Oryzias latipes: one gene and its partner. The protein of the gene in region 2 binds, or shares a complex with, the protein of the main gene of each other region. Links are inferred from orthologs where the notes say so. Each region holds a gene or a part of one and is shown on either strand. Other genes may lie near its edges.

Region 1 (15,711 bases), on a different chromosome or scaffold from region 2:
TTGGGTCAGCTAGACCAGTGTTTTTCAACCTTTTTTGAGCCACGGCACACTTTAACCTTGACAAAAATCCCGCGGCACACCAGCATTCCAAAAAAAAAAGAAAAAAAAAAAAGCAGAAACTCACAGTCTGTTTTGATCTACAGTGCCCCCCCCCCCCGGCAATCTGACGTGCATTTAATAATTGTGGCAGAAAAAGCAGGAAGTTGCAGACGTTTTTTTCTAAAAGATGTAATAAAACTTAAGTTACATACATGTATGTATACTGTATGTTCGTTGTGGTTTCAAGACGTGTAACAAGGACGACTCATTGTACGCTGAGGCGCTGTCCCTTTAAGCCAATGCATCATGGGAGATGTAGTGTGAAAACTGCCAGAAAACGGCAGAAAGTCTCGCGTCTCTGAGCTTCATGGTTTTGTTCACTTGTTCCACGGTCTGATACCGGATTCTGTGGAAAGCTACACCGCTAAAGACGAGCTTTAGCTGGTGTTTTTGTTGGAACTGAGTGAGTTATGAGCTAAATTGGAACAAGGAAGTGAATACTTTAAACACTTCTGATTGGTCAGACTGATGACATGTGATTAAGCCTTCAAGAATGATTGGTGGAGTCGTGGAAACAGTAAAAGCTGCGGGACTTTTCAGATAACAGTTATAGCTGCAGCTAAATCGCGTTACCGTCATTCTTATAAAAATGTCTTTAATAGAATCAAATAAACACAAAGTAAAAAGTATTTTATGATCTTTCATATTCCTAACTACTCAGTGTTTTATCAGGACCTGTTTGGATGAACAAAGAGCTGATTTCCTGGAGATGGGAAATGTTTTTAGATCAATTAATGAGGGCAATTTTCCACGGCACACTTGACCATCTCCCACGGCACACTAGTGTGCCGCGGCACACTGGTTGAAAAACACTGATCTAGACCCACTAGACAGTGCTCTGAACCTTTTTTCTTTAATGATTTGTGATCTTCACTGGTGTCCATGAAATCTTTCCACCTTTATCCACCTTTGTCATGGTAGGGAGAACACGTCAATGTAAGGGGGGGTCATCTAAGATAGCACAAGGGTTAAGTGTGTTGTTTAAATTTTCATTTCAACATTTTTTTATTTTCAAACTGTAGCATAGAAAAATATCACCAAAATTGTTTTTATTGACTTACTTTTACTCATAAATGAAATTCATTTGCAGTTCCTTCTGAAGAAACACATGGACAACCTGTTTGTAAAAGTGTTCATTTACTTTTTCAGTTTTAAGTCTTTCAATTAAAATCACTGCCAATGACGTGTCTAAAAATCTCAGTCCTCCATTTCTAAAATTATGCTAAACAATATTAAAAAATAACTGGACGGCTATCCCTGCGACAGACCGGTGACCTGTCCAGGGTGCCCCCTGCCTCCGCCCACAAGTGGCCGGCTTAGGCTCCAGCAGCCCCGTGACCCCTAAAGGGATGAAATGGTAGAAAATGAATGAACTGGGGCCTCATTTATAAACGTTGCGTACGCACAAAAGAAGGCGTACGCCACTCTCTACGCAATAGTTGATATTTATAAAAAGCAAACTTGACGGGAAAATGTGCGGTCCTTCACGCAAGCTCTGACCCAGGCGTACGCACAAAAACGGGTAAAATGAGAAATGGCGAAACCGTCAGCAGATGGAAGAAACAAGTGAAAGTGACAGTGTGTGCCAAATCGTGCTGGCATGTGCTGTGATACACAATGTGGCACAGCTTAATAACGTGCCTCTACCCCCTGGTGCCGATTGCTGTGTTGGCCCCGACCCTGAACCCCATCCCCACCATTTTGACCCAAATGCTGCTGCTGTGCGCCAGCGTTTGGAAGTGATGCGTCGCTTGTAAAGAACAACAAAAGGTGTGGAAAATATTATTTATTCAAGATTCCCTGATCGTGCAGTTTATTTCAGTCAGGGCAGTCTTGATTTCGCCCCAACTCCTTGGCCACCTCTCTGATTGAACTAATGACTTCCCTCTGCATTTCAAGGACTGCATCGGTGAGGACACGTCCACTGCTGGAGGGTTGAGAGCCGCGTGCCTTGGAGACGCTGGGGCCAGACGGCTGCTCAGCTGCAACATCGTAACCACTGGCCCCGCTGGAACACCCAGCAACTAAAATAAAATTGTTCTATATTAATAAACTGTAATTGTGTAGCCTGCATGTGACTTGACTGCATTCATTTTATTATTTTCTCTTACCTGTGTCACCCGGTGCATCTGGCGCGTCGGTGTCCCCCTCCGCCTCAGTCACCACTCCACTTAAAAGGGATTCCCCATTAATAGCCGCCAGTCTCTCATCAAGAGGTCCCCCCCCCCCCGTGGCAGACACACCCTGGCGATGGAGCACTAGACGTCTTTTCGCCTCGACTTTAATGTCCGACCATTTCTTTCATTTCTTTTTTATTTCGGCCACGGTCCGAGGTTGTGAGGCTACAGCATTTACGGCGTCTGCCACCGTTTGCCACTCAAGTGCCTTTTTGGCATTAGTAATGCCCACACTGTGCCCTCCAAACAACATTTTTCTCCTCTTTTCCACCTCGCCAACGATAACTTCTACTTCACATTGAGTGAAGTTACGTTTTTTTGATTTCCTCTCTGTGTTTGCCATGGTTTCGCAATCAATGAATATTAATTTCTTGGGCGTTTCACGGACTATTTATGGGCAACTATAGGCGTGTCATGAAGCCGCAAAAGCTGCGCTACATTTAGAATTGGTTGTGATTTATTAAGGGAAAGATGCGTAGGATGTGCGTGCGCACGGTTTTATAAATCCGAATATTTCTGTGCGTTCGCATGTTTCATCCGTACACCACTTCTGACGCAAATCCTTTATAAATGAGGCCCCTGGACGGCTGCACTTGACTTGCTACCCCTATTATTGTCATATTTTTTGGGATCACCTGTGCCCTCTGCCATGAGGAGCGCGTGCTGCGTGCCTCACCTAGTGTATTTCTAATGCTCATTATACTGGATAAAAAAAAAGACGAAATAAATGGGTCACAAACATGCACCAATGTAACCAGACGGTTGACGAGAAAAAACCCCCAAAGTAATTAAAAATAAAGCATATTTTATGATAATAGAAAAACTGAATCAGCAAAGCACGTGCATCAGCTGCAGCTTAGTCAGGATATGCATGACCCTTGTGCTATCCTAGATGACCCCACCCTTCCATTGACGTGTTCTCCCTACCATGGCAAAGGTAGATAAAGGTAGAAAGACTTCATGGAATCCATGGACACCAGTGAAGATCACAAATCATTGAAGAAAAAAGGTTCAGAGCACTGTTTAGTGGGTCTAGATGACCCAACTCCCAATGTTAAAGTGCCTAGGATAGCACAAGGGTTAAAAAAGTATATACATCTTTTTTATTGTATGCACGTCACTGGCTGAAGACATCTTCTCCTGCCCCATTTTGTCCTTACATTAGATCACGTGTCAAATCCGAGGCCCAAGGGCCACATTCGGCCAGCCATGTAATTAAATCCAGCCCGCGAGATCATTTTATATTATAGTTATCAATAGCCCGTCGAAGTGTAGCGCTGATATTCACATTCACTAGAGATCCCATACTGCAGCGCTTCAGCTGCCCAACAAAATACACTGATGAGCACCTAGACTGTGAATTTCTACATCACAGGACCTCAAACCAAACACAAACAAACTTGTTGACAAAAAATGATCCCAGGGGGATATTCCAGGAAGCATGTTTAAACTAGCCTGACCTTAAGCCTGAACTCTGGCTGAAATCCGCCTGAACTTGCTTACTCTGGGTATGTCGGTTCCAAAAGACCGGATACGAGTTGGCGTAATTACGCTCGACTTAGTAACCCTGGGTTAATGCACGTGCATGTCAAGTACATAAAGACATTCTCAATAGATCGCCGATTTCCAGAGTCACCATGGAAACGCGTGGTGAACCAAAGAGAGCGCTATACTTTAGTGAGACGGAGTCTGAGATTTTGATGACGGCATATGAAGATTATACATCCATCAAAAAAGTAACACGGCTGCATCATCAAAAGAAAGAGTTTCTGCTTGTAGTAGAACAACAGACAAAGTAAACGCACGAGTTTCTGATCTTATTTCCATTTTCCTTGTGACGCATACATATATATAACTTATCCAATTTTGCCACGTTGAATGAACTACTTCTATTGGTGACAAATAATTGAGTTAAATTTAATCAACCTAATTTCTTACGTCTATAAAACTCAATAATTGTTTATACAACTCAAATTTATGTGTTTATCTAACTAAATGTCATATTACTCCAATTCAATTAATATTTTTTCCATCTTAATTAATTATATTTCTTGATCTTTCATATGTCTAAGTATGAGCCGGCAGATATGCTCAATCAAAAGGACGGAAAAAAAATGCAAGATGCGCACAAATTCATTAAAGAACTCTCCGTCATTGTCATTACAGCAATAAGCGGTAGGGGTGCTATATAAACTCATCATCCTCTCCTTCACTCTCACTCATGGTGCAGAGACATAAGCACAGTAGGACAAAATAACTCAGCAAAACACGGCAAAACACAGTAAAACAGCTAAACAACTAAACACATTTGGTCAAAAAGCCACACTTAAACCAAAATCCGTCCAGACAGGCAAAGGAAATGGTATCCCACAATCCCTTGCGGTGCCGACCTAACAGCAGCACCAAAGCTACACCTACTTAATTGAATTAATTTGAATGAAAGTAAAATAACTGTCTGATAACTACGTGTTATTTTTAAACTGACTTAAAAAAAATATTTATCTTAACTGAAGCAAATAACTAAGTTAGATCAAAGTAAAAAAGTTTAATTTTCCAGCATTCATATGTGGTCTTATCACCCTCTCACGGTGGAAAAAGTATTATCTGAGTTTCTTCATCCACTAAATCATCTTCAAATGGACACGCCATGCTGCTTCACCTCTATGTAAACAAACTAACCTTCAACTAAACCTGCTCCCGACCAGGCAACTTGACATACTCTGAAACATACCTCCATTTCTGGAACCGAAAACTGAGGTTATCAACTTCCTTAGCCTCAAACTTACCGTGGGAGCTAGCATAACCAGCTTCCTGGAATACCCCCCAGGTGTCCAGCTTATTTTTGAAAAGCAAAAACAACATGACGAAGGACACTAATGCTAGAATCATCGGATGGTATTTATGTCTCCAGCCATTTTGTTTTCAAGTAAAGTACAAGTCGGGACACCAGAACATAGTGACAGACTTTTTGTCCCGTGACTTGGATGAATAACGACTTTTAAAAGGGGGACAAAGTAGTTGTATCTATTTGTCACTTCTCTGTAATTGCTCATCACTTTTAGACACATCATGTATCTAAAACACAACCATCAAATGTTTACACTCGTTTAATTTAGTCATGTTTCCCCACCTTCTCTTCCTGGTGCCCAAAGAACAAAATGGTGGCCAAGGCCTTAACTTTCTGTTTAGGAGTTGGGCATAGGAAGTCAAAAGGATTTGGATTTCTTTGTATACCTTCTGGTTGTAATGATTTGAGTCGTTTGTGTAAGTGTGGCTACGTGTAATTTCTGAAAGGCACACTTAAGCTGTAGAGTCAGAGCCTATAGATGACGCTTCTTTTGTAAATGAGCTTCCACAGTTCAAGATCTTCATGTTTAGATGTTTACTTTCCAAATGCATTGTGACAAAAAACAAATTATGGTACAAAACATATAAACGTTAAAGTTTGGTCAAAAACTACTGAGCTCTCTTAGCTCTATAGCTTCACTAAGCTAACAAGAACAAGGCACATCAACAATGTTGTTTCTCTCAGCCAATAGAACTGCTGGGCTCCCGAGTTGACCTATTCTTTTACAAAATCCAGTACAAACGTTGTAGAATGTTTAAATGGCTCTAACAGTTTATTTATGTTTCCACATACACTCATTCACCAGCACCCTGTCAATAAACAGCATCGATGGCAGGCGTTGCTAACCCGGGCCTCGACAGATGCTGTACGGATATCATAAGTCTGATTCGCATATTTGGATGGGCAAAGATTTTACATGAAATGCCCTTCCTGACACAACCCTCTGTATTTATCCAGTCTTGGGACCGGCAATGATACCTTGGCTTGGACCCACTCGTGTCTACATTACTGGAATTATGAAAATGAATAAAGTTTTCTATGATATTTAAACGGGTCTATATATGTTCTATTTTCTAATAATTGCTTCACCTGTTGGTTCTTTTTCATGAAGCTGTTTAACTGTAGTTTGATTTATCTCATTTTTGTTCAAGTCTTGTATCTTGTCAGGTGTCCTTTCAGCTCTTTGGTCTTGGTTATGGTGGAACAGTTACAGTCTGATTGTTTAGGGGGTGTGGACTGGTGTCTTTCATACAGATAACTAATTCAAATTACAGGTGACCAGTGCAGGATAAAAGAACTTCTTAAAGAAGTAGTAGCAGGTCTGTGAGGAATAGAAATCTTGTTGTTGGTAGAAAATTAAAGCTTGTTTTCTGCACCATTATACAAATAAATGATTTAAAAGCATACAGTGTGATTTTCAGGATTCTTTTCTTGCATTGTCTCTCCCAGTAAATGTTATTAACCTCTAATCTTTTTAGGTGAGAAAACTTGCAGAATTTGTGACAGAGCATAGACTTTTTTGCCATAAAGGTCGTGATTACAGGATGCATATTTGCAAAAATACATACATATTTTTCACATCTTTACATCTTTGTGGCTTTAAAAGAAAAAAAACCAAAGTTTTGTATTTCTCATCTCATGTTGCACCTCATTATCTTTTCCTTTAAACCATTTAGATTCAGAAGAAAGTCTACCTGCTGCCTATTTAGGAGTCATAAATTAGGTCCAAATCATAAATCTTCAACCACAAATGTCAGATCAGGCAGAACAAATCCCACACATACCATTTACACAAATGTGGTTTATTAGAAAAATGCTACCATGATCAACTGTCATGTTAAATTATATTACAAACTTCTATAAGAAGGCTTAACATACAGTGGTCCATAAACATCCGGACTAGGACAATGTTTAGTTTTGCCTTTATATGCCACCATATTGGATTTTTAATCTGCCAATTAAGATATGACTTATGTGAATATTTTTTCTATTTTACTTAAAATTTTTTAACAGAAAATAATATGAAGAGTCAAACTGCTAATATTTTTATGGTGTTTGACTCAGAATTAGAAAAATCCTAGAAAAACAGGAAAGCTTTCGGGAATTACAAAAGGAAATGCTTTATTTTTTTCAATAAATTCTTTTAAAATACTATTACTTTTGAATCAATTCATATTTAAAGTAAGGTGGAAAAAACACTTGTGTCTTAAAGATTTGTTTGAAAGTTCTTTAACATAAACTTGTCATTTTAAACCCCTTGTGACAGAAAGAACATTTAAAATGTTCCTGTACAAATAATCAGGGACTCAGCTGGAAGTACAATAGCATCAACACAAGTGGCACAATGCTACATTGATAACTGCAATGGGAATATTTCACATTGTGGCTAAACTCTGTTAATATAGAAAACTGTGTGACCTATGCTTTTAGCTACTATTGTTATTTTCAAGGCTGCAACATTTACGAACAAAATTAGTTAGACGAGCTAGGATAGTTTGACTTATAAATAAGACGAGTTTTAGGTCTAACGTTAACAAGACTACCTAATGTAAAACATCTGCTGCTGCAGCCAGTGAATAAAATCAAAGGTAGGATCAAAGAAAAAAGCTTCAGCTTCTGTTTAGTTGCTTCATGACAAAGAGTGTAACGTCCTGGAACTAAGACATGGTGCTGGACCGTTTGGCCTTTTTAAGAATGTCGCACTTTTTGCGATTGGGGCGCCGGCAGCGTTCATCAATGCTCGGCACGCATTCGTAGTGCCACACCTCCTCCATCTTATCCACGGGATACACTGCCTCCACATAGTGACGGATGAGCCTCAGTCGGACAGGGTCAAGCTGCTTTTTGTTGCAAGCTCCTGAGTGATTGTACTGTAGGCGCAGGTTCTCCTGGGTGAAGAGCTCAGGGAAAAGGCGCACCAACAGGCGGGCGGCAAAGTTACCCACAGAGAGACTCTGCTGAACAATCTCTCGTATCTCTGTGTCTGACAGCAGGTATGTGGACGGAACAGGGAAGTCTGGTTTGGACACAGTCAGCTCCTCCAGGGGAATCTTACAAAAGTCTTTGCTGCTTTTCTCAGGGGGTAAGGAGTGAATGTCGGGATCCTCTTTCGGGTTGTCTGGATGGAGGCGGCTCATTTGACAGAGAAAGTCCTGCTCTGATTCGTGACTGTAAACTTTACGCTGCTGCAGGTACGACCTCCTCTGCTCTGTGTCACGCCTCCTGCACCTTTCATCCAACTTACCCACAAACTCCAGCATCCACACTCTGTTATTCTTTGCTTGTGGGTAGACTAACTGCACGTAGTGACGGATCAGACTTACACGGACCGGGTCGAGCTGCTTTTTTCCCAGAGAGCCACTGCAGTTGTACTGTTTTCTAGTATTTTCGTGGGTAAAAAGTTCAGGAAACATGAGTACAAGTAGTCTGGATGCAAAGTTACCAATGGACAAGCTACATTCATAGTTGCTCTTAAGTTGCTCTCTTGTCAACATGTACTCCTGTGGCGCCGGGAAATCAGGCGAGGGAATTTCCAAACTGTCAAAATCCACTAGTGGAAGAAGCGACTTTTTGGATTTGCGACTGGGCCTGTCATATTCTGGAACCTTTAGAATAGAATCTTCATCGGGAAGGCTGGCTAAATCATAGCCTTCATCATTCATGTTGTCCGTTTCACTCCCATTACCATTGCTATGGGGACCCTCCAGAGCATACTCTACATGTTGAATGCACACCTGAAGCCAGCTTTCCTCAGGCACATCAGGAAAATAGGTTTCCATGTACTTTCTTAAAATCTCCATCTTATCAGACTCCAGAATCACTTGTCCCATGTTGGTCAAACTACTACAGCCTTCTGGTATTTTTGCCTCTTCAAAAACCTCAGGGAAAAGACGGTGCACGAGTAGGATGACAAAGTCATCAGGGGAGGAGAGCTCGTCCAGTTCTTCTGTGCTAAATCCAATGTCAGACCTCCCAAGGGAGTCCTGCTGGTTGTCCACAGACCCATGCTCCCCCTGATCCTGCTCATTGATACTATGAGATTGAGGATGGTCTGCCTTTGTCCCAGCGCCCAATTCTGTATGCTTCCTGAGCAGCCGGGCGCTCTCCATGTCCCTCTGCGCCCAGAAGCGATTAAAAAAGTCGTTAATCTGGAGAAGACATTCTTCCTGCCAAATGTTGTTGTTTTTGACAGAGGGGTAGCATACCTCCACATAGTTACGAATCAGCTGCAGATGGAGAGATTCCAGGGTTCTCTTGCCTGCCATGCACTCATGAGAGCACTCCCTGGCTTTGAACAACTCTGGGAAAAGATGGACGAGCAGCTGACAGCTGAGCTCTCCTGGACTGGCTGTCTGCTCCATCAGCTGATTCAATTCATTATGCGTCAGCTGATACTCAAGGGGAGGCTGGAACTCTGTCACCATCTCTGTCTGTTTGATCTGCTTCTTTATCCGCATGACTTCAAGGGTTAACAAGTCCACTTTACTATGCAGCTGAGTCATGCTTGAATTCAAGCTATTGAGAATGAAAAACATTTTCTCAATCAGCGGGTAAAGGCTGGAGTCTGTTTTTGAGGTGTGGCTAGTTGACTGTGTGTTTGGGAAGGTCTCCTCTGAGCAGTTTTGCTCTGGAGTTTGTAGGTTGGACGACAGGATGCTGCTGCTTAGGTTGAGTTGATTCAGGTTTCCGTGACTGACCTGCTGCTCCAGACTCGGCGTGTTCCTCCTGTCAGAAATTTTATGCAAGATGCTAAAAAGAGGCTTTTTGTATGAAATGCTGGATTTCTCCTGGATACCCTCCTTGTCTGCACTTGTGGTAAGGCAAAGGGGTTCGTACCTGCTGCCATCACCTATAAAGCGTTTCCTCGACTAAGAAAACAAAAAGAATTAAATTATGCAAATATTACTAAACACATATCAATATAAGAATTTAAATGTTGTAAACTGGCTTCGTTTTACCTCACTAGAGACTCTAGGTCTTTTGCTGCTGGTGGACTGATGTGTATCAGAGCAAAATTCAGCAGATGACCTTTTATTGACCTCTGTAGTAGCAGGAGCTCCTTCTTCTTTATCATCTTGTGATTGTCCACAAACCGCAACATCTTCCATCTCCTCCTTAACCTCTTGAACATTGTTTTTTTCTGGAAATCATGATATATTTGTATTATTTTTTTATTTTTACTATAAATAACTGCCCTGGCAACAACAATTTCATCAATGAGATTAACTCACCTTTATCAAGCATGGCTTCATCGGAAATTTCCCCATGTTCACAGGAATTCATAGCCTAAAAGTCAATGAGAAATGTGTGAAATCTCTGTAGGTAAAACAAAAGGAACTAAAAACCAAACACACACAAGGAGACCCTCACCCCACCCCCTCAAAGGAAAAAAAAAGTTTAAAGTCTGACTGCATGATCAGGGATGTCCCAATCAGGTTTTTTGGGTGGCCCTGATCAAGTTCCGAGTCATTGGATTTTGAGTATTTGCCGATAGATAGCCCCGACCCGATACTTCTTTAACACATTAAAAAATGAACACATTTAATAAGTACATCCAGACTGTCTCAGTCATCTATCCAGCCATCCTGCTCCGCTTATCCGGGACAGGGTCGCTGGGGCAGCAAAGGTATATAAGCAAAGATGTCCAGACTTCCCCTCTCCCCTGCCACTTCCTTCAGCTCCTCTGAAGACCCCAACAAGTTCCCAGGCCAGCCGAGAGACGTAGTCTCTCCAGCGGATCCTGGGCCTTCAGCCAGTGCCATGCCTCCTGGAGGCATTTGGAATAGATGCCTGAGCCACGTCAACAGGCTCCTCTCGATGTGGAGGAGCAGCGGCTCTACTCTGAGGTTTCTTTGGGTGGTTGAGCTTCTCACCCCATCTCTAAGGGAGCGCCCAGCCACCCTATGGAGGAAGCTAATTTCTGCTGCTTGTATTTAGTACCTGTTTTTTCTGTTACGACCAAGAGCCCATGGTACGCCATCAGTACTCGAAACGAAGATCGACCAGCAAATCAAGAGCTTTGCTTTCTGGCTCAGCCCTCTCTTTACTACAAGGGCCGTTACACAAACGGCGCTCTAATTCGCCTGTCAATCTTAAACTCCAATCTTCACTAATTTTCCATTAATCTTCACTCTTCTGCATCGAGGAAATCCTGTGGTTCCCAAACCACACCCCCTCCGCCCCCTGGCTGTGCCTAGAAATTCTGTCTATAAAGATTATGAACAGAACCTAAAAGGGCAGCCCTTCTGGAGTCCAACATGTACCAGGAACAAGTGTGACTTACCACCAGCGATGTGAACCAAGCGCCTGCTCCGGCTATACAGAGACAGGACAGCCCTTAGTAAGGCTCCATGGACCCCATACTCCCAGAGCCCCCCCACATGACACCACTGGGGACATGTTCGAAAGCCATCTCCAAATCCACAAAACATATAAACTGGATAAGCAAACTCCCACTCCAGCACCCCAAAGAGGGTGTAGAGCTGTTCCACTGTTCCATGACCAGGGCGGAAACAGCACTGTTGTTCCTGGATCTGAGGTTCGACTATCGGATGGACTTTCCTCTCCAGTACCCTGGCATAGACTTTTTCAGGGAGGCTGAGGAGTGATTCCCTGGAACAACCACCCGTCTGCCAGTTCAGTGGTACAGTTCCGACTGCCTCACAGTGCTGCAGAGATATGTCAGCCAAGACACTCTTACAGCATCCAGAGACTTGAGGTACTCTGGGCGAACTTCATCTATTCAGTAGCCTTGCCACCAAAGAGCTTGTGGACTACCTCAGTGACCTCAGCTCGGGTAATAGACAGCCCCACCCTAAAGTCTTCAGCCTCTCCTACCTCGAGAGAAGATGTGTCAGCAGGGTTGAGGAGACCCTCATTGTATTTCTTCCACCACCCCACAATGTCCCAAGTCAAAGTCAACAGCTCCCCACCTGCACTAATAACAGGGCCAGCAGAAGACTGCTTCCCCTCCTGAGACACCAGACAGTTTGTCAGAATTTCCTCGAGGCCAACAGTTAGTCCTCTCCATGGCCTCACCGAACTCCTCCCAGGACTTAGTTTTTGCCTTCACAAAAGCCCGGGCCACAGCTCTCCCGGATGTGGGAGTTAAAGACGTCCCTGACAGAGAGCTCAGTCAGACGTTCCCAGCACACCCTCACAGTACATTTAGGTTTGCCAAGTCTTTCCGGCCTCCTCTGTCAGCAAATCCAACTCGCCAACAGGTAGTGATTGGTGGACAGCTTTGCCCCTCTTTTTACCAGAGTGTTCAAGATACATGGCCAAAGGTCACCTGAAACGACTACAAACTAGGGTGTCCTTATGCCACATGAATTGATGGACACCTTTGTGTTTGAACATGGTGTTTGTTATGGACAAACTATGACGAGCACAGAAGTTCAACAACAAAAGCGGTGAGCGGTGGCTCAGGTTCAGATCTGGAAGGCCATTACTACCAATCCCGCCCCTCCTTGGTCACACGGGCATAGAAATCCCCCAGGAAGACAAGTGAGTTCCTCATTAGGGCACTTTCCTATACCCCTTCGAGAGACACCAAGAAGGACGGGTACTTCAAAGTGCTGTTTGCCAGAGGCCTGTCCCCCACCAGAAGGCGAAGGGACACAACCCTCTCGTCCACCGGGTTTAACTCCAACACTGGGAGATCCAACCAGGGGCAAAATCCAGGGATCATTCCCCTATTTTTCAACATCTAAATGGTTTGTTTGACTGAATGAAATGAAGGAATGACTGAAAATTTCCCAATCTATGTATTTATCCAATGTGACTGAAAATGACATTTTGACTACAGTATACAAACTGAAAAACAAGACCTCAAAAGGACAGTAATGGGATTGATATGAAAATAATAAAAATGACAATATATTGTATTGTCAAACCACTACATCATATCATTAATCTTTCACTGAAATTGGGAATTTTTCCAGAGAGGATGAAAATAGCTAAAGGTATTCCTTTTTTTTTTTAAATGGAGACAGACATACTTTTAATAATTACAGACCAGAATCATTACTTTCCAAATTTTCAAAAGTTTTAAAAAAGTTGTTTGTGAACAAACTAGACAGCTTTATTAAAAAAAAATTTGTTAAGTGAGAATAAGTTTGGGTTTCATTCTAATAGGTCTACAGGTTTGGCTGTAATGAAAATAGTTGAAGAAATATCAAAAGCAATTGACAAAAAGAAATACACAATAGATTTTTTCATTGATTTAAAGAAGGCTTTTGACACGATAAATCATTCTATCCTGATTTATACATGACTGATCACAGCAGCTCCAGGACTGCCACAGGAGCAGGAAGGCAAATGAGGAGTTGGAGCGCTGGGGCCTGTGGGTGGGTGCTGCAGCGAGGAGATTGATTTTGGGTTTGAAAGATTACTTTGAACTTTGAACAGAACTTTGTCGCTCTGTTCAAAAAGTCTTAATTTGGATGCAATAATTTGTGGACGACTGAAGCCCAAATGGCAGATAACACACGTCATCGTAAGAAAGACGCCGACGGTGAGCACGCCTTAATGAATGAACTGAGAGCACTCAATGACAAAATGGATAAAATGCAGACAAAAATGGACAATATGCAAAGCAATATTGAAACACAGATGGATATAAAAATGAACACCCTCCGGGGAAGCTTGGAAAAAATCATTTTTGACGGACAAGCTGCATTTAAAAGTGAGCTGGAGAAGGGGGTGAAGGAAGTGCGCAATAATCTGGATCTGGAAGTTTCAATTATGAGTTCCAGAATGGACGATATTGAAACTAAAATGAGGAACAGAGAAGTGCGGGGAAAATCTTTTGACCCAGACGTGTCACTGATTATTGTCGGGCTGCCTCAAGCGGATGGAGAAAATCTCGAGGCTAAAGTGAAGGAGCTGCTGCAGGATGGATTGCACTGTGACCCGGTGCCAACGCTGGTAGCCACGGAGCGCGTAAGGCAGAGAGGACGGCAACCAGGCCTGGTGAAAGTGGAGCTCGCATCGGTGGAGGATAAAGTGGCTGTTCTTCGTTTGAAGTCAAAGCTAAAAGATCATGGAAACTACAGGAGAGTTTATGTGTCATCTGCAAAGTCTCACGCGGAGAGACTCATGGAAACAAATTTGCGCACCCTTTTGCGCGAAATCCCGATGGCTAAAGACTACTATGTGGCTGGAAATGGGCGATTGATTAAACGGGCCCAAACGTCAAGCAGTCCAGTGCAGCGTGGGGCAGGAGTGTGACGAGACAGTGCTCAGCCTGTAAGTACTGAATTTGTTTTAGTTCACTGGAATGTGAACGGCTGGACGCTGAATAACTGTGAACTAAGAGCGCATATTCTCATGTCGCTAGAGCCTGATATTATTTCTTTAAATGAGACTCATCTATCCAATTTGATACCGGAGCTGGATGGCTTTACTTGGATTGGACACAATCGGATTGTGCACAGAAAAGCTGTTAAAGCATCTGGGGGTGTGGGAATATTTGTGAAAAATACTCTCTTGGACAGTTTTTCTTTGAGGATTGATAAAACCTATGATGGGATTCTGTCTTTACGTTTTGAACATGGTTTGTCACAATTTTCGTTTAAAGTAATCTCATGCTACTTGTCCCCTGAAACCTCTACTTGGGGGCGCAATGCTGATCTTTTTTTTTGCCCATTTACTTTCACTAATTTATGCATCTGATGCTGATTCTGTTTATATATGTGGAGACTTGAACAGTCGTATAGGATGCTTAAAAGATTTTGTGGATGAGGATGATATTCCCTCAAGAGTTGTGTTAGACACGATATTAAACAATCATGGACACGCTTTTGTTGAATTTCTTAAAGACTCTAAATGTTGTGTTTTGAATGGGAGGGTAAATCCAGAGAATGATTGCTTCACCTCTGTGTCTTTTAAGGGTAAAGCTGTGGTGGATTACATTGTCACCCCGCACACTGGTTTAAACGAGTGTGTTGAATTTAAAGTTCTCACCCCTCTGGAGCTGATAAAAAGCAACAAGTCTGATCTGATGAACCTCATTGATGACAGAAGTAAACTCCCCGATCATTCAGTTCTCTATTTGCGTTTTAAAACTATTGAAACAAATTTTTCAAATAATATGCAAGCTGGTTTACAAAATAAAAAGCCAATCAGAAAACTGCCTGTTCACTTTCTGGAGTCAGAAGTCTGTTGTGAGTCTCTATGTGAAATTGGTCTTCAGCTGAGGGAAGGTAGACAAACACAGGAAAATCTAAACCATTGCTATGGCTGGTTTTGTGATGTTTTGTGTAAAGAATTGGATAAAAATAGACCAAAACAGAAATATAAAAGCAATAAAGGAATATGTAAAAGAAATCAACCTTACTGGAACAATGAACTGCAGAGTCTATGGGAACAACTGTGTTTATCAGAGAAAAAGTATTTAAAATGCAAAGAAATGGTTCTGAAAAGAGAGCTTCTTTCTGTGTTTAAAAACTGTCAGAGTCATTTTGATAAGAAGTTAAAATTATTTAAAAGACGTTTCAGGAGGGGGTAAAGCTCTTCAACTACAACTGCATTTGCAAAATAATAAATCACAGTTATTTTGGAGGGAAATAAATAAACTAGGACCTA
Region 2 (15,273 bases):
AGAGTACGAGGCTCTTCCTGACAAGGTGAGGCTGGGAAACCTGCCGCTTCACGTCTTCAGGCTTCATTCCCGCGTCTTTTCTTAGCTCAGTCGGCAGGAATGGACTCCCGACTTCGGCCCGGCCGCCTTCGTGCCGTCGTGGGGCGCCACGGTGACCGGCGCGCGGAAGTTCCTCATCGCGTACAACGTGAACCTGATCAGCACCAAGGAGCAGGCTCACCGTGTGGCGCTGGACATCCGGGAGCAGGGCCGGGGCCAGAACCAGGTGCATGCTGGGAGTCAACTGCTGTTAACTGTTGTTCTGTACAAGATTCCACAAACTTCAGGAATCTTTCCTGCTGAAGAGATTCCACTGACGGGCTGTCACCATGGCAACAGAGGAGACCTGATTCCCATTGAAGATCTATAAAGGCCCAATAGGGCGCCACCTGCAGTCAGACTGTGGTTATAGCGTAGGTTCATTTTAGGAGCCCTTGGTGGCTCTAGTTCTCTAGTGCCGTCAGTGAGCCCCCCCACATGCAGGGTAAAGGGGTGTGGGGGTTTCTGGACATGGACAACCTCAGGGCTTCCCGTCCATCTCCAGACATCTCTGTGCCGTTGTGTCCGTTATCGTTAGAGCCGTACATCCATGACATGGATAACCTTTCAGTTCTATGTAGATAAAAAGAACAGACTCACAGATGAGACAGAACCAGAACCTTTTGGTAAAGAACGGCTCGGCACTGATGACAGAACCGAAACCAGGTATTCAAAGGCTGCCGAAAGAGGGCGGAGCTTCTGGACGGCTTGACCGTGAGAATGTTATCATGACGTCTGGTGAGTCCAGCGTCAGAAAGCTGCTTCCACCATGACCCAAATCCCACGGTTCAGAACCCAGTCCACCCTGAATCCCATAGAACATCTGTAGAAAGTCTCAACACAGAACTATTTAGAAAGGAGTGGTCCCACATTCCAGCAGACAGCTGTCAGAAACTCCGTCGTGGTGACAGGAAGTGGAAGAGATTGGGTTCTGCTGACCCGCTTCATCCCGCCTGAGTTTAAATGAGAAACTTTTGCAGATAAACTGTTTTCTGACCCAACAGCCAGGCTGCTGGTCTTTCTGGTCATGACTGCAGATGTTTGTGGATAGAAGGAGGTATAGATGAGTGAACTTGCATCTCCTCCTCGTGTCCTCCTCGCTCAGCCCGGCCTGCTGAAGAAGGTCCAGGGGATGGGCTGGTACCTGGAGGAGGCCAACATCGCCCAGGTGTCCACCAACATCCTGGACTATGAGGTGACCCCCCTCCACGCCGTGTATGAGGAGGTCTGCAGGGCAGCAGAGGTGGGTGAGGCGTCAGCATGAGGTGGTCCAGGCTTGGGCCTCAGCTGCTCTGTGCCGTCTAGGAGCTGAGGCTGCCGCTGGTGGGCTCTCAGATCGTGGGTCTGATCCCTTTGAAGGCTCTGCTGGACGCTGCTGACTTCTACATTCACAGAGATCAGCTCTTCATCCTTGAAGAGGAGCACAAAGTCAGACTGGTGAGCACGGAACCGTGTGTGGAGACCCGATGAGCCGCTCCGACTGACAGAACCGCATGTTCTGGCCCGCAGGTGGTCAGTAAACTGGGCCTGGACTCCCTCGGCCCGTTCAACCCCAAGGAGAGGATCATAGAGTGAGTCTGATCGCCCACGCAGGAGCAGAAGGAGCGGGAGCTAAAGGTGCTGCGTCCTACATGCAGGTACATGGTGAAGGGGCAGGAGGAGGGGCAGCTGCGCTCGTTGACCCTGCGGCAGTTTGTTCACAGCGTTGGAGCTCGAACGGCGGCTCCGGGAGGAGGATCGGTCTCTGCTGCCATCGCTGCTCTGGTGGGAAATTCTCAAAGTTCTGACGGCGTCCACATCCAAGTCCTTATCGTCATCTTGCGTTTTACCTGTAGGGGGCGGCGCTGGGGGCCATGGTGGGGCAGATGACCTATGGGAAGAGGCAGTATGAAAACCTGGACGGAGTGATGAGGAAGCTGATTCCTCCTCTTCATCGGGCCATGAACGACTTCCTGCAGATGGTGGACGCCGACGCGTCCGCCTTCAACAGCTACATGGTGAGAACCCAGAACCTTCCCGCACATTCAGGACGACCCGGTCTGACCCAAACGGCTGTCGTGTTTCTGCAGGCGGCTCTGAAGATGCCAAAAAACACGGCGGAGGAAAAGAAACGGTACGGATGTCAGCCAGAAGGTGGCGCTGAAAGCTGCAGCACTTGGAGCCAACGTGTCAGTGGTTTTATGCTCCTCTGCTCCTGTCAGGAGAGAAGACGCCATGCAGGACGGCCTGCAGCAGGCGCTCGCCGTCCCGGAGGCTCTGGCGGAGCGGATCAGCGCCCTCTGGCCTCATCTGAAGGAGATGGTCGTCCATGGAAACATCAGCTGCAAGTCTGACGCTCAGGTGAGAATGATGCTGCAGGCGTGGTTCATGAAGCTCCGCCTCCTCCTCCAACGAGCACTGCAGACATTTTTGCTGAAATTTGAGTCTGGCTTTCAGACAGACTAGAGGCTAGAGTTGATGGATTATGTGCACGTTTCCTGTCCAACATAAATGCCACATAAGCTGTAGAGTCTGCATGCAGACCTTCAGGCCCCCCATGTGTGGAAACCATGAAGGTTCTGACGGTGTGTGCTGTCCAGGTCGCAGCCAAAGCTCTGGAGGCGGCTGCCTTTGGAGCGTACTACAACATCATGACTAACCTCACCGACGTCACCGACGAGGCCTTCAAAGCAGCGGTACGTACGCCCACATCTGCTGGCAGCCTCGCCTCCAGGCAGGCCCTGACCTCCGGTTCTGGTTCTGCAGACACACAGGAGAGCGTCCGCTTTGCTTCAGGAGGCCCGAGACGGCGCTGCTGCTGTCCTCCGCGCCGCTGAGACCAGGACCTGAAAGGCCTGAAGGAACTGCAAATAAAAGCTTCCCTCAAACGCGTCTGTGTGTTTGTAGAGGCAGCAGCCGGACCCACGGGTTCAGGAACCGGGTCAGAACGTCCGAGTGTGCCATTAGACAGCAGGAAAACCGGTATCTGTTGGAAGAGGAGCCATTGGCCAAAACCAAACCGATTAGACCCCAAATGTGAAACGTTTCTTTAACCAGAAAGAGGAATGTTCTTGTTTACAATCAGCTGAAAAACTTAAATCAGTTCCATTTTTAAAAGATTTTATTAACTTTTTAATAGAGAATTAATCTACAAATGTCATTTTAATTCCTCACTGTAACCCTTGTGCTATCCTAGGCACTTTAACGTTGGGAGTGGGGTCATCTAGACCAGTGTTTTTCCACAAGTGTGCCGTGGAAAATTGCCCTCATTAACTGATCTAAAAACATTTCCATCTCCAGGATTTCAGCTCTCTGTTCATCCAAACAGGCCCTGATAAAACACTGAGGAGTTAGGAATATAAAAGATCGTAAATTACTTTTTCTTTGCGTTTATTTTATTTTATTAAATACATTTTGATAAGAACGACGTACCGCGATTCAGCTGCACCTTCGGCTGTATTTTGGAAAAGTCCCGTCCCTTTAACTGTCTCCACCAATCATTCCTGGGGGGCTTAATCACATGTCATCAGTCTGACCAATCAGAAGTGGTTAAAGTCTTCACTTCCTTGTCCCGATTTAGCTCGTAAAGTCGCTCAGTTCTAAAAAACATAGCAGCTAAAGCTCGTCTTTAGCGGTGTAGCTTTCCACAGAGTCCGGTATCAGACCGTGGAACAAGTGAACAAAACCATGAAGCTCCGAAAACCGATCTCTGGCCGTTTTATGCACTACATCTCCCATGATGCATTGGGTTGTGAGAGTGACAGGGCACAAGGAGATCTGTTGTTAAACGTCTTGAAACCAACGAACACACAACCAGTTTTTAAATCTTCTAACTTAACTTTTATTTAATCTGTTAGAAAAAAACAGTTTCCAGCTTTTTCTGACACAATTATCTCAAAAATGCATGTAAGATTGTGGAGGGAGGGGCTGTAGATCAATACAGACTAGAGTTTCTCCTTTTTTTTAATTTTTGGATGCTGGTGTGCCGCGGGATTTTTTTTAAGGTTAAAGTGTGCCGTGGCTCAGAAAAGGTTGAAAAACACTGATGTAGACCCACTAGACAGTTGGGTCATCTAGACCCACTAGACAGTTGGGTCATCTAGACCCACTAGACCAGGGGTCGGGAACCTTTTTGGCCAAGAGAGCCATAAACGCCACATATTTTTAAATGTAATTTCGAAAAAGCCATACAATAATGTAGTGTCCTTTTCCCACATGGAGACTTAACCTCTTTTAAGGTTCTTTATTCTGGTTAATGCAGGCTGTAACAAATGCCGTAAATTAATTCAGCAGCTCCTGAATCTCTCCTGCCGAGACGAGAGCACTTCTCCCAACTTTATATTCCCCCCTCCCGCTCCAGGCCTCCCATTTCCCTTATTCGGCCCATAGCTGAACCCCATTGGTCCAAATTAACTAACAACAGGCTGAGCGACAGAACTAAGAGCCAATCAGATCTGTGCTTGATGCGTTCAAGGAACTCCAGAACTTTTAACGCGGCCCAACAGCCAAGTTAAACTCAGTCCGCTACAATATGTTTAAAACTAAATATTCAAGTGAATGTGTGCATTTGATATAATTTCAACACTTTTAAAGTACAATAAGTCTGTGGATTATTTTTAATAACATTGTTATGCTGTTGCTAATAAATGATGAGTATTTCTCGTGGTGGTTCTGCTGATGGTCTAGTCTGGTTGATACGTGGTGAGTTTCTGCTTCGTTCAGGCGTTGAGACTTTAAACGTGATCTTAGGTCTGAATGTTCTGTAGATGTGAGACAGACTGCTCACATGCAGACGTGGAGCCAAACACACACTCACACGCTGCAGTGAGTGACGGGCAGCAGGTTTTATGTTTTTACAATCCCTGCGCGGTTCACCTGCTGTCCCCACAACCCCTCACCCCCACCCTCTGCTTTCTCCCTCACACATCCCGTCCCCGCATCTGCGCGCTCTTTCTCAGAGACGGGAGCGCGCAGTTTTAGGCACGGCAATTCACAGGTTTCCGGGTGGTACAAACTCTGTGAATTAATAGATAATAGTAAAGTGATAATGCTGGCGCAGATCCTTCTCTCCAAGCACCGCTACTACTGCGCGCCTCTGCCATCGCATCGCGCCCGAGAAGGACTGGTCTAATGAAAAAGAAAAAATTAAAAATGTGTCTGCGAGCCACATGTGACCATCAAAAGAGCCATATATGGCTCGCGAGCCATAGGTTCCCGACCCCTGCACTAGACAGAGCTCTGAACCTTTTTTCTTCAATGATTTGTGATCTTCACTGGTGTCCATAGATTACATGAAATCTTTCCACCTTTATCCACCTTTGTCATGGTGGGGGGAACACCTCAATGGAAGGGGGGGGGGGGGGGGTCATCTAAGATAGCACAAGGGTTAACCCTTCAACTCCAAATCTGTTTTCAAACTGTAAAACAGCCCCCCCACCTCAGTCCAGGGCTTTTTCACTCAAAGGTCATCAAGATTCGGTGATCAGTCTCTCATTGGGGCGGGTCCCACCTGGCTGCCTTTCCTAAGTCCCGCCTCCACTTCCTCTGATGATCTCAGGTGATGTCAGACCATTCCTCACAGCAGCTCCAGGTCGGTGGATCAAAGGCAGGCAGGACCCCCCCCCGTGAGAGACTGACAGGCTGCAGAGTCACACAGGTGAGGTCATATAAAAGAGGTGGGCGTGGCTCCAGGTGCATAAAGCAGTCGTTACAGTGAGACACAGGTGTAACATCCAGGTGACTCCTGAATGCAAACACATTTACACCGTTGAATCTAAACCTAAAAACCTGTAGGCGGATGAAACGTAGGAAAACCATTTTACCCAGAATGCTCTGATAGGACAGGAACCCGGGGGGGGGGGGGGGGGTTGAAAAACACTGAACAGGATGTAAAGCTGATGGAGGATGAAGACGGATCACAATGAAACCGGAGCAGAACTTCAGCCTGATGAGAAACATCAGGATGCTGATGAAAACTCCGCCCCTCACTGACTGACGGCGGCCTCACAGCTGGACCCCCATCAGCTGATTGGCTGGTTTTGAAGTTTGCCCCGGCCGTCTGGGAACATTCCTGAGGTCCATCTTTCTCTGTAACGTCATGGTTTGATGAGTGAAGCACAAACGTTCAGACGGCTGAATCCATTGAAATGGTTTTAATGATCAACTCCACACTAAAAGACATAAAACTCTTCAGGGTCTCTGGCTCAGCTGTCGGTACAACTGGATGGTCATGAACTGGACCTCCGGGTCTCCGGGCCGGATGTCGATGGCTCTGAGGAAGAAGCTCAGCGCCTCGTCCAGCTTGGCCTGGCTGTAGCTCTCTTTGCCCTTCTTCACCAGGACCTCGTAGCTCTCTGCGGCACAGAGCGGCTCCTCCTTCCTCTGACACTCCGGCTCCTCTTCGATCTGCAGGTTCAAACTGGAGCCTTCTTCAGCCTCCTCTTCCTCCTCCATGTTTAGAGTCTCTCCATTCATGTCCGTTTGAAGCTCGTCCATGTTTCTTTCTTCAGACTTGAATCCAGAAACATCTTCGTCATCCTCGTCCTCATCCTCCACATCCTGGATGATGGACTGAAGCAGAGACCGCCGTGACACCACAGAGGCGTTTCCCCCCACGCTCTTTCGTGAGTGGCGAGGAGCTGCTGACTTGGGCGTGGAGGCTTCAAGAACCTGGAAGGAGCCATCAAGTGGAGACTTCAGCTCTTCCTCATCGCTGTCCTGAATTGTCGGGGCTCTCTTCTTCCTCACCCCCACCACCGAGTCCTCCATGGACGTGTCCTCCTGGCGTCTGCTCCAACTCTCTGACAGAGACTTGTTGACATTAAAGCTGCCGTCCATCAGAAGCTTAGCCAGCAGCTTCTGCTCCTCTTCCTCCATCTCTTCATCCTCCACGGCTCCACTGTCCTCCAACTGCAGCTGAAAGTTTCCACGAGAAGAATCTGGGTGGAAGCTCTCTTCAGAGCTGGAATCTCCTTCTGTCAGGGGGGGGGTTTGGTGCAGGTCCAGCTCAGAAGGGATTTCACCGTGGAGATGTCTGAGGTCATCAGCAGAGGTCAGGACGCCGGCGTCATGTTGTAGAGAAGCAGCAGTCAGAGAGGCTCCTCCACCAGCACCTCCAGGTTCTGGTCCTGCATCTAGAACCTCACACTCGTCCTGGGGGGGAGGGTCTGCAGTCAGATCAGTCACTTGGAGGGACAGAGGCGGTCTCCTGCAGCGTTCTTCTGAAGTGTCCAGGTCCACCACCTCAAACACGCTGACCTCAGACTGTGGAGGTGAACGGGCCGCTTTGGGGTTTCTGGGTTTGTCTGGGGGGGGCGGATGCCTCAGCCACGCCGGCTCTGTGCTCGTCGCCATGCTCTCCGCCATCTGCATCTGCAAACAGAAACATTCTCAGATGAACACGGCACGTCTGACAGGTGAGCCGTTCCTGACGGAACCAGACGGAGGGCAGTAGATCTGCAGGATCCGCTGGATCTCCTCAATGCTTTTGGTTGTGGCACAGAAATGAAAACAACCTTTGGTGCACAGTGACATTTACCGATCAGTCACCCTGACCGTCACTGTGGATAATGAAGCAGATAAAGGCAGAACCGTGTCGGTGTTTCCCGCTCCACCGTCCTGCATGTTGTCCTGCTCATGCACACCTGAGTCAGCTGATCAGACTCTGCAGAAGGTCAGGTGAAGGTCAGGTGTGTTTGAGCAGGACATTGTTCCCCGAGGACCAGGGCTGGGAAACACTGGTCTATGTGATGAAACTGAAGCTTCATCTCTGAAGGTAGAACCATGGAGAACAAACTTCTGCCAAAGGGAATCCAGAGAACGCTCCAAATTATTATGCAAATGGTAGATATGACAAAAAGATCCAATTCTTTGTTTTCCATTTAAAAGGATGGAAGGTGTTGAGTCTCTGGTCTGTTTGGATCACTGACATCAACCTCAGACACCTGAGATGATTAGTGTTCCAGGTGAGTTCAATCAAAGGAGAAACTACTAAAGGACGTTCCAAGCAGTATGGAAGAAAAAGGATCTCTGCTGCTGAAAAGCCTGAAACAGTCAAACGCCTCGGTCAAAGTATGAAAACTGTGGTTATTTCAGGAAAACCTAAGCATGATCATCGTCCTATGAAGAGATTCAGAGACACGCGTGTTGCTGCAGATAAAGGGGGAATGAGCAAGTTTCTGCCAGCTGAGCAGCTACTGAAAGCACAGATCTGAAGCTGCTGGAGTCTCTGGGGGTGTTGGATCCTCCGGAGACCAGCAGCTCTATTGACCCCAGAGAAGTGGGTGGAGCTTCTGACTGACCACTTTCTTCCCTGGTACCCAAAGAACTGTGGTTTCCTGCATGACAGAGCAGCATCTCATGCTGCCTGGAGTCTGCATCACTGGCTACTACAGGCAGAAAAGGAGAGAACTGATGGTATGCCCCCCCCCCTCCCCCACCCTATTGAGAACCTTTGGAAATATGTTTCAATATGTTTATAGAAATATTTTAAAATCTATATATTTGTTTGAAAGTAAAACTGATTCTTTATCATTTTTACATTTAAACGTTAATGCAAAACATTTTTCCAAAGGAAAAAGTTTTAAAGACAAGACCAAAAATGGTGTACTTTATGACATCATGCTTCAGTTTATTTAAAATAAAGTTAAAATGATCAGAATGAGGAAATTCATATCTGAAAATGAAAACACTCATTTCTCAGCAGATCTTCGTCTCTCTAAAGCCGCTCAGCCTCACCATGAATTCATGAGGACAGAAACTTGTGGGTAAGTGAGTGTCTGCTCAGATTCTACCCACCTGTACCTCAGACTCCGCCCTAACCAGCTCCTGAGCCTTCTGGACCCGCCCCTCGATGTAGTGCTGCTCCTCCGGGTTCTCAGGAGCCTCATCTGTGTTCACGTCCACGGAGAACATCAGGTCGTGGTCGGAGATGCCGAAGATCTCCATGGTGTGGAGGTGGGCGATGTGCTGGTCCAGCTGGGGGTCCGTCTGGCGGTGCCGCGAGTGCAGCGCCTGCAGCTGAAGCTGCGTGGAGGATGAACGCGTGTCCTCCAGGGTGAAGAGCTCCTTCAGCTCCTGCTTGCTGAAGTACCTGAAAGGGTTCTTCTTGTCCCCCGTGTTCTGTCGGATCAGGGAGTCTTTGAAGACCTGCCGCCTGTAGATCTTCTCCTCCACCGTTCCGCAGGTGATCAGCCTGTAGATGACCACGTTCTCGGTCTGGCCGATGCGGTACGCCCTGTCCACAGCCTGGGCGTCTGTGGCCGGGTTCCAGCTGGGGTCGTAGATGACCACCCTGTTTGCAGCAGTCAGTGTGATGCCGACGCCCCCCACCTGGGTGGTGAGCAGGAAGACGGAGTAGCTCCGGTCTTTCTGGAACAGAGAGATGAGCCGCTCTCTCTCCGTTATCTGTGTTATGGTTCCATCCAGCCGGAGAACTTTAAAACCTCGGTTGTTGAGGATGCGCTCGATGATGTCCAGAACTTTCCTGTAATGAGCGAAGATGAGGGTGCGCTGGCCTTCCTCTCTGAGCCTCTCCAGCAACGCCACAAGGAAGGCTAGTTTTCCAGACTCTGAAATCAGCGTGTGGTCCGGCACATCTGCAATGCCGTGAGCGGCGGCGTCCGCGGCGTTTTCCTCCAGACCCAGCCTCGCTAAGGCGTCCGTAGAGAGCAGTCTGGGGTGGTCGCACAGCTTCTTCAAAACGGTGAGCTCAGCCAGAGGAGACCTGGTGGTGAGGAGCAGCTCCTTGATGCAGTCCAGGTCGATGAACTGCCTGTAGATTTCCTCCTGAACTGCGCTCAGGTAAGTCCAGACAATCAGGTCGTTTTTGCGCTTCAGTTGGGGCATGGCCGCGGCGGGGTCAGGTTGGTCCTCCTGGTTCTCTGCACTGCTGTGCAGCTTCTCCTTCTCACACAACTCATTCCTTTGCACTTCAGCCTTTGTCCTCCGGAGGAAGTATGGCTTAATTATGGCCATGAGGTTATCGGACATCCGCGAGCCCAAGGCCTTCTCCCCCGGGGTGGCGTCCTTCTCTCTGGCTCGGGTGATGGGGTTCTCATACTCCGTCTTGAAGGTCTTACCTGTCCCCAGGAGAGTGCCTTGGCAAGCAAAGTCAAACAGAGCCCACATCTCCCGCAGATTGTTCTGGACTGGCGTTCCTGTCAGCAGAACCCTGTTCTTTGACGGGATGGCGTAGGCGCTTTTGGCCGTCTTGCTGGACGTATTTTTGATTTTGTGCGCTTCGTCCAGGATCACGTAGTCCCAGCAGAACTCCTTTCCCTGGTAGGAGGACAGCTGCTGCCAGTTGTTCAGCAGCATGTTGTATGTGGTGATGACAACGCCGCTCCTCCTTTGAACCTTCTCCAAACTTCTGGTCCGTTCTGCTTTGCTGGCGCCATGAAACTCCTTGACCCTCATACCAGGAGTCCACCTGGAGAATTCCTTGATCCAGTTAGTGATGAGCGACGTGGGCATGATGAGCAGCGTGTGTTTGATCAGCTCATTGTCATACATGCCAGAGAGGAAGGAGATGACCTGGATGGTTTTCCCAAGTCCCATGTCGTCGGCTAGAATCCCGCCTTTGCGTCCGTCTCTGTACAGCCCGTACAGGAAGGACACGCCCTCTCTCTGGTAGCCGTACAGCTTGTCATGCAGCTCCTTGTAGAGCATGAAACCACTGTTGTTCACGTTGACAAACTCGTCATCCTCATCCTCAGAGTCATTCTGGGACAGAAGCTCTTGGATTTTCTTTATCCTGTTCTCCAGCTTGGGAGTCTGGTGGACGCTGAAGGCCAGTTTAAAGAGCTCCAGCGCTTTCTCGATGTCCCCTTGTTTGGCAGCATCTTTACCTTCAGAAATCAGTCTGAAAGAAACGACTGAATATCAGCCTCTTTCCTTTTAACATGCTCTCAAACTATTGTTGTTTAAATGGAGCCACAGAGAAAAATCCTCTGAGCTTCTAGACTTTTAAATATTCATGTGTGACATAACGTTGTCTTTGCATAGATGTTACAGACACAGCAGAAATGCAGCAGAACATCACTTTATGAATGAAGACAACGTCTATGTCATTAAAGATTCTGTTCCTACTTTTTACTCATGGCGTGAACTAAAAGGTTTGGTCTTATTTGCAAAGCAAAAAACTGTCATTTGTGGTTTGGAGCTGCAGGTTCTCTTCATTTATAAATGTGTAGAAATAAAATCCAGACATTTAGATTAGCAAAAACAAAAAGAGAAGCATTTTCACTTAATTAATTAAGAGGTATCTTAGCATCTCTATGGGATGTATTGAGACATTTGAATGTATCGGCACATTTAATCAAGAGTCTCTTAATACCTCTGATACTTTTCCATCGCCTCATCATCATCTTCATCAGCAGCAGCCCTGATAGACAAAGACCTGCAAGGCGAAGAAAACATCCCATAAATGAAGCTTCATCAAAAACAACCTGAACTTACATGACGACGATGAGACAAAGTTATTAAAACATTATATTCAACTGACAAGAGAATTTATTCTGGACTCTTAGTCAATCAGTTATAAAAACAAGCGCGCACGCGCACGGACAATATAATAAGAGTGCCAAGAACACACAAGATAATAGTCATAAAAAGCCGAAATAAGTATCCAAACAGAATCACAATAAAAAGTAAAACAATAAAGATTCATTAAGTATCTATTTATCCATGATCTGACCTTTTATGTCCTTCATGGTTTTTTTCTGGTCACGTTTTCTGAAGTTTCACTAAATAATTAAAGTTTGTCTCATCATCGACTGAACTGCTGGTTAGTTTGACGCGGACAAATGTCGAAGTTTCTCTTTTGAATTCAAACGGTCTCCTGAGTCCTGACGCTGCTCGAGTCCTTCACATCAGAACCTTAAGCCCACGCGGTTCCGCTGAACCCAATCGGGTCTGTGGGTTTTGAAAGCAGAGCTCTAAAGTTTAAGCTAGCTCACACTGAGGCTACCGGCTAACCTACCAGTCTTCATTTTTCTTGTCGATATACTCACGTTTCCAACTTTTCGGAGACCTCCGTAACCTCCCGGTAGTTTTCCGGACGGTCCATGGCGCCGGTAGTGTTCACGCCGGAGGAATAGAAGCGGGATTCCTGCGTTTCAGGAGCGAACGAACCCGGTAAAACCATCGATCTAGTCTCAGCGGGGCGAACGTCTCAAAACACAGGCTTCCTCCCGCCAATTTCTCAGCCAATCACAGAGCACGCTCTCGACGCGCTGATCATGTTTTATCCAATCATGATTTGTCGACACAGACAAAGAGGCGGGGCCACAGTGAACTTCCGCTAGTTCCACAAGTGGTGGGATTTCTTTTTAATATTTATATTTATTTAAATGTTCGAAACACTTTCACTGAATAAATTGAAGAGAAATGCATTAAAATCTCAATTAAGCCCTAAAATATCCTTATGTATTTGATTTACAACACTTTTTTCTTCTTAAAAGAACTTTTATTAACAATTGACTTAGATTACATAGAATAACATTAACATAGATGGACTGATGGTGGAAATTAGTTTCGTTGCTAAACTGGAAAAACGTTCAATCTTCTGTACTCAGGCTGTGTATAAAGTCAGCATTGATACTTTCCCCTGTCTTTAGTTAAAAAAACTTTAGTTTAAAAAAGTTTAGTTTAGTTTAAAAAAGTTTAACACTGTAAAAAACACATGGGGGGGGGGGGGACACACATCCACACACAAACATATCCTTTGGTAGCATGAACACACATGCATGTTCACACTCACACATTACAGATCAACACACACGCATCCCATATCCTGGAGAGCAGGTACCTGTGCTCAGGTGGGTGTGTGTTCTACTCTGGACGCTGGTATTATGGGATGCAGGGAGTAAAACAAATTAGCGAGCACCCAATCTACACCAAGCCCCAGCAGAGGGAGGGGCGGCAGCAGCCTGGACCCCCCAGAAAATCAATGTTCATTTAGTTTATAGGATAAATGTGTTTCTAACAAACGTCAGTTCTGCTGCACTGAGACAAGAATCTTCATCTTTATTGGAACACGGCCAGACGTGAAGCTGCTGCTGCAGAAGATTAGAATGACGTAAAAATCATTCAATCAGATAAAAACATGGGATGAACTTTGAACTGATCTCCTCCAGAAGCAGAGAGGAGCGGATGGATCCAGCAGCAGGACTGTGACACCTGGACGGCTCCTCCGAGGACTTTACCAGAGAGGAGCCGTCTCCAGAGCTCTGACCTGAGCAGCAAAAACCACAACATTCTTCTGAACCTCTGCGTTGATCTGGGCCTGCGAGGCCCGCGGGTTCTGCTGGAGGAACTGCACGATGTTCAGGATACATGCTTTCTGAGGAGACAGAAATGACAAAATCGTTAGACTCCTGCCGCTCTGCAGAAACTATGTCCTGGAAAACTGTAGCTCCGCCATTCAAAGTTCTGCTCTAAGTCCTTCATCCTGTCTGTCCTTTGCTCTGCCGAAGAACACGCCCTCCTCCTCTCCTTCTTCCACTAACGGTGGTCCCCCCCCCCCCCCCCCCCTTAAGGTCAGCAGCACCGGTTGTTGTTAATTTGGCCCCAGGACCGATCGGGTCATAAATCACAACCCCCCCATTGCTGCTACAGGAGCCCCTCTGAGGATCAGAGTTCTGCAGCTGCTTCAGCACCTTGTAAGCATCCACTTTGTCCTGGCCGGTGATCCGGTTCAGCAGCTCCCCACCGACCCGTAACCCGGTCACCACAGCCAGAGCCCGGCGATCCTCCTCCGTCTGAGAGGTCAGGTACCGAAGGAAGGCCACCTGCAGGAGACAGAACCTTACTTCAGAGGAATCCAACCTTCCTCCCCAAGAGCACTGGCGTGAAGCAGAGGCTCTAGGAGCAGGTTCTGACGGACCCACGGGTTCTATTAAGGTCTGAGGATCACATGGAACATCATCCAACTGAGCTCCTGTGGAGCTTTGGAAGAACTTCCTGTGTCCAGTCCAGCTTCATTTCTGTCTGTTTCACGACAACATTTGAGTTTAGATCTTTCCCCAAAACTCTGAGATGCTTCCAGAACCACTGAGAAAGGAGACGTGTTCTGTTGGATCCATGTTTTTCTGCTCCTCAGAACCAGTTCTGGACCTGACCTCCTCTGGGGACCAGATGTGTCTGAGCTGAGGTTCTGCTGCTCCGTCTGTTCTAAAGATGGACAGATTCACGTTTTTCCTGCTTTTTGTTGGATGTTCTTGGAGCTGAACGTCCAGGAGCTTCAGTCCAGAACCAGAACCAGGACCTGGACCGGAACTGACCGACCCGAGTCCAGACCTGCTGTCTGGCTGACAGGAAACTCTGCTCACCATAGTGGATGATTTTAGCCAGTTCCTTAAGCGCAGAAGTAACGCGTTATATTTAGTCACGTGACTGATGTCATCGTTAACAACTGCATCGTTACCTGAACGTGAAATGATTTTACCGGAAGTGTCCATTTCTATTCCCACACCTGGATCACGAGCCTCTGCTCGGTTCGTCCCGAACCCGATCAGAACCTTTAGCAATGAATTCGGTTCGTTAGTGTCCCGGGTCCGCTGTGACCCGTCCGTTCGTTTTCCTTACCTGCTGAAAAAACTCCGCGCTGTTCATGACCGCAGACACACGTTTACCGCCAAACACGGCTCGACCCTGGCGTCCACGGGTCAGTTTTACTCGTTTTTCTAACACAAACTACTTCCTGTTTACTTCCGCCTCCGTGTGGAGCAGAGAGCGCACAGCGCCCCCAGCGGCAGTTACTGGGACTGACTGCAGTCTGCGACGCTGCTGACGAGTTCGAGGCTTTTGGTACGTGATAGTTTTATTGTTTATGACGGCCTCCAGGCTTCCGTGTGTCCAATGAAAGACGGTTTCGAGCAGAGACCAGAACACCTGAGGTTCACAGAGAACCAACCTGCAGACCAGAGTTCAGCAGGGCGGTGCTGTGGGGGCAGGGGTTCTCCTGAGCCGAAGAACCATGAGATGAGAAGCAGAACATTGGACCTTTGACAAAGAAACCTGATGGTTTTTTAATACGGTTCTGGAAGTAATGACAATCACTACATTCCAGAATCTTTAACAGCTGTTTCTAAACTCCCCATCCATCATCTGGGGTTCGGTCATGGGGGCAGCAGTCTAAGCTCCCCTCCAGCTCCTCTGGGGACCCCGAGGCATTCTCAGGCCAGCCGAGAGATGGAATCTCCACATGGAGTCCTG

What was found.
Region 1: the proteins of ercc6l (region 2) and bend3 are in contact, whole or in part, in a crystal structure (PDB 5JNO), measured with the Homo sapiens proteins. The link is inferred for Oryzias latipes from reciprocal best matches to the Homo sapiens genes ERCC6L and BEND3. Residues at the interface, in NP_060139.2 of Homo sapiens: Ala10, Glu11, Ala12, Leu13, Ser14, Pro15, Glu16, Ala18, Ala19, Tyr21, Leu22, Arg23, Lys26, Phe51, Pro52, Asn53, Glu54, Lys55; in NP_001073919.1 of Homo sapiens: Glu252, Gln255, Ile256, Gln259, Leu261, Asp265, Arg269, Val272, Gln273, Pro276, Phe279, Ser280, Phe335, Arg338, Phe339, Gln342, Glu346.

The regions. Positions count from the first base shown.
Region 1 is NC_019880.2:28,671,254-28,686,964, reverse strand, and holds the end of bend3 (BEN domain-containing protein 3), read right to left. Parts: intron 10,411-15,711; 5' UTR 10,408-10,410; coding exon 10,356-10,407; intron 10,265-10,355; coding exon 10,083-10,264; intron 9,993-10,082; coding exon 7,782-9,992; 3' UTR 6,908-7,781; downstream 1-6,907. UniProt on the Homo sapiens protein: Transcriptional repressor which associates with the NoRC (nucleolar remodeling complex) complex and plays a key role in repressing rDNA transcription.
Region 2 is NC_019867.2:408,885-424,157, reverse strand, and holds ercc6l (DNA excision repair protein ERCC-6-like), read right to left. Parts: upstream 14,818-15,273; 5' UTR 14,644-14,817; intron 13,848-14,643; 5' UTR 13,716-13,847; intron 13,400-13,715; 5' UTR 12,203-13,399; coding exon 12,069-12,202; intron 11,456-12,068; coding exon 11,393-11,455; intron 10,919-11,392; coding exon 8,854-10,918; intron 7,429-8,853; coding exon 6,247-7,428; 3' UTR 6,195-6,246; downstream 1-6,194. Other genes in the region: ftcd (formimidoyltransferase-cyclodeaminase), read left to right, coding at 1-25, 86-265, 1,184-1,321, 1,384-1,515, 1,588-1,649, 1,716-1,842, 1,914-2,075, 2,148-2,191 and 3 more. UniProt on the Homo sapiens protein: DNA helicase that acts as a tension sensor that associates with catenated DNA which is stretched under tension until it is resolved during anaphase. Functions as ATP-dependent DNA translocase. Can promote Holliday junction branch migration (in vitro).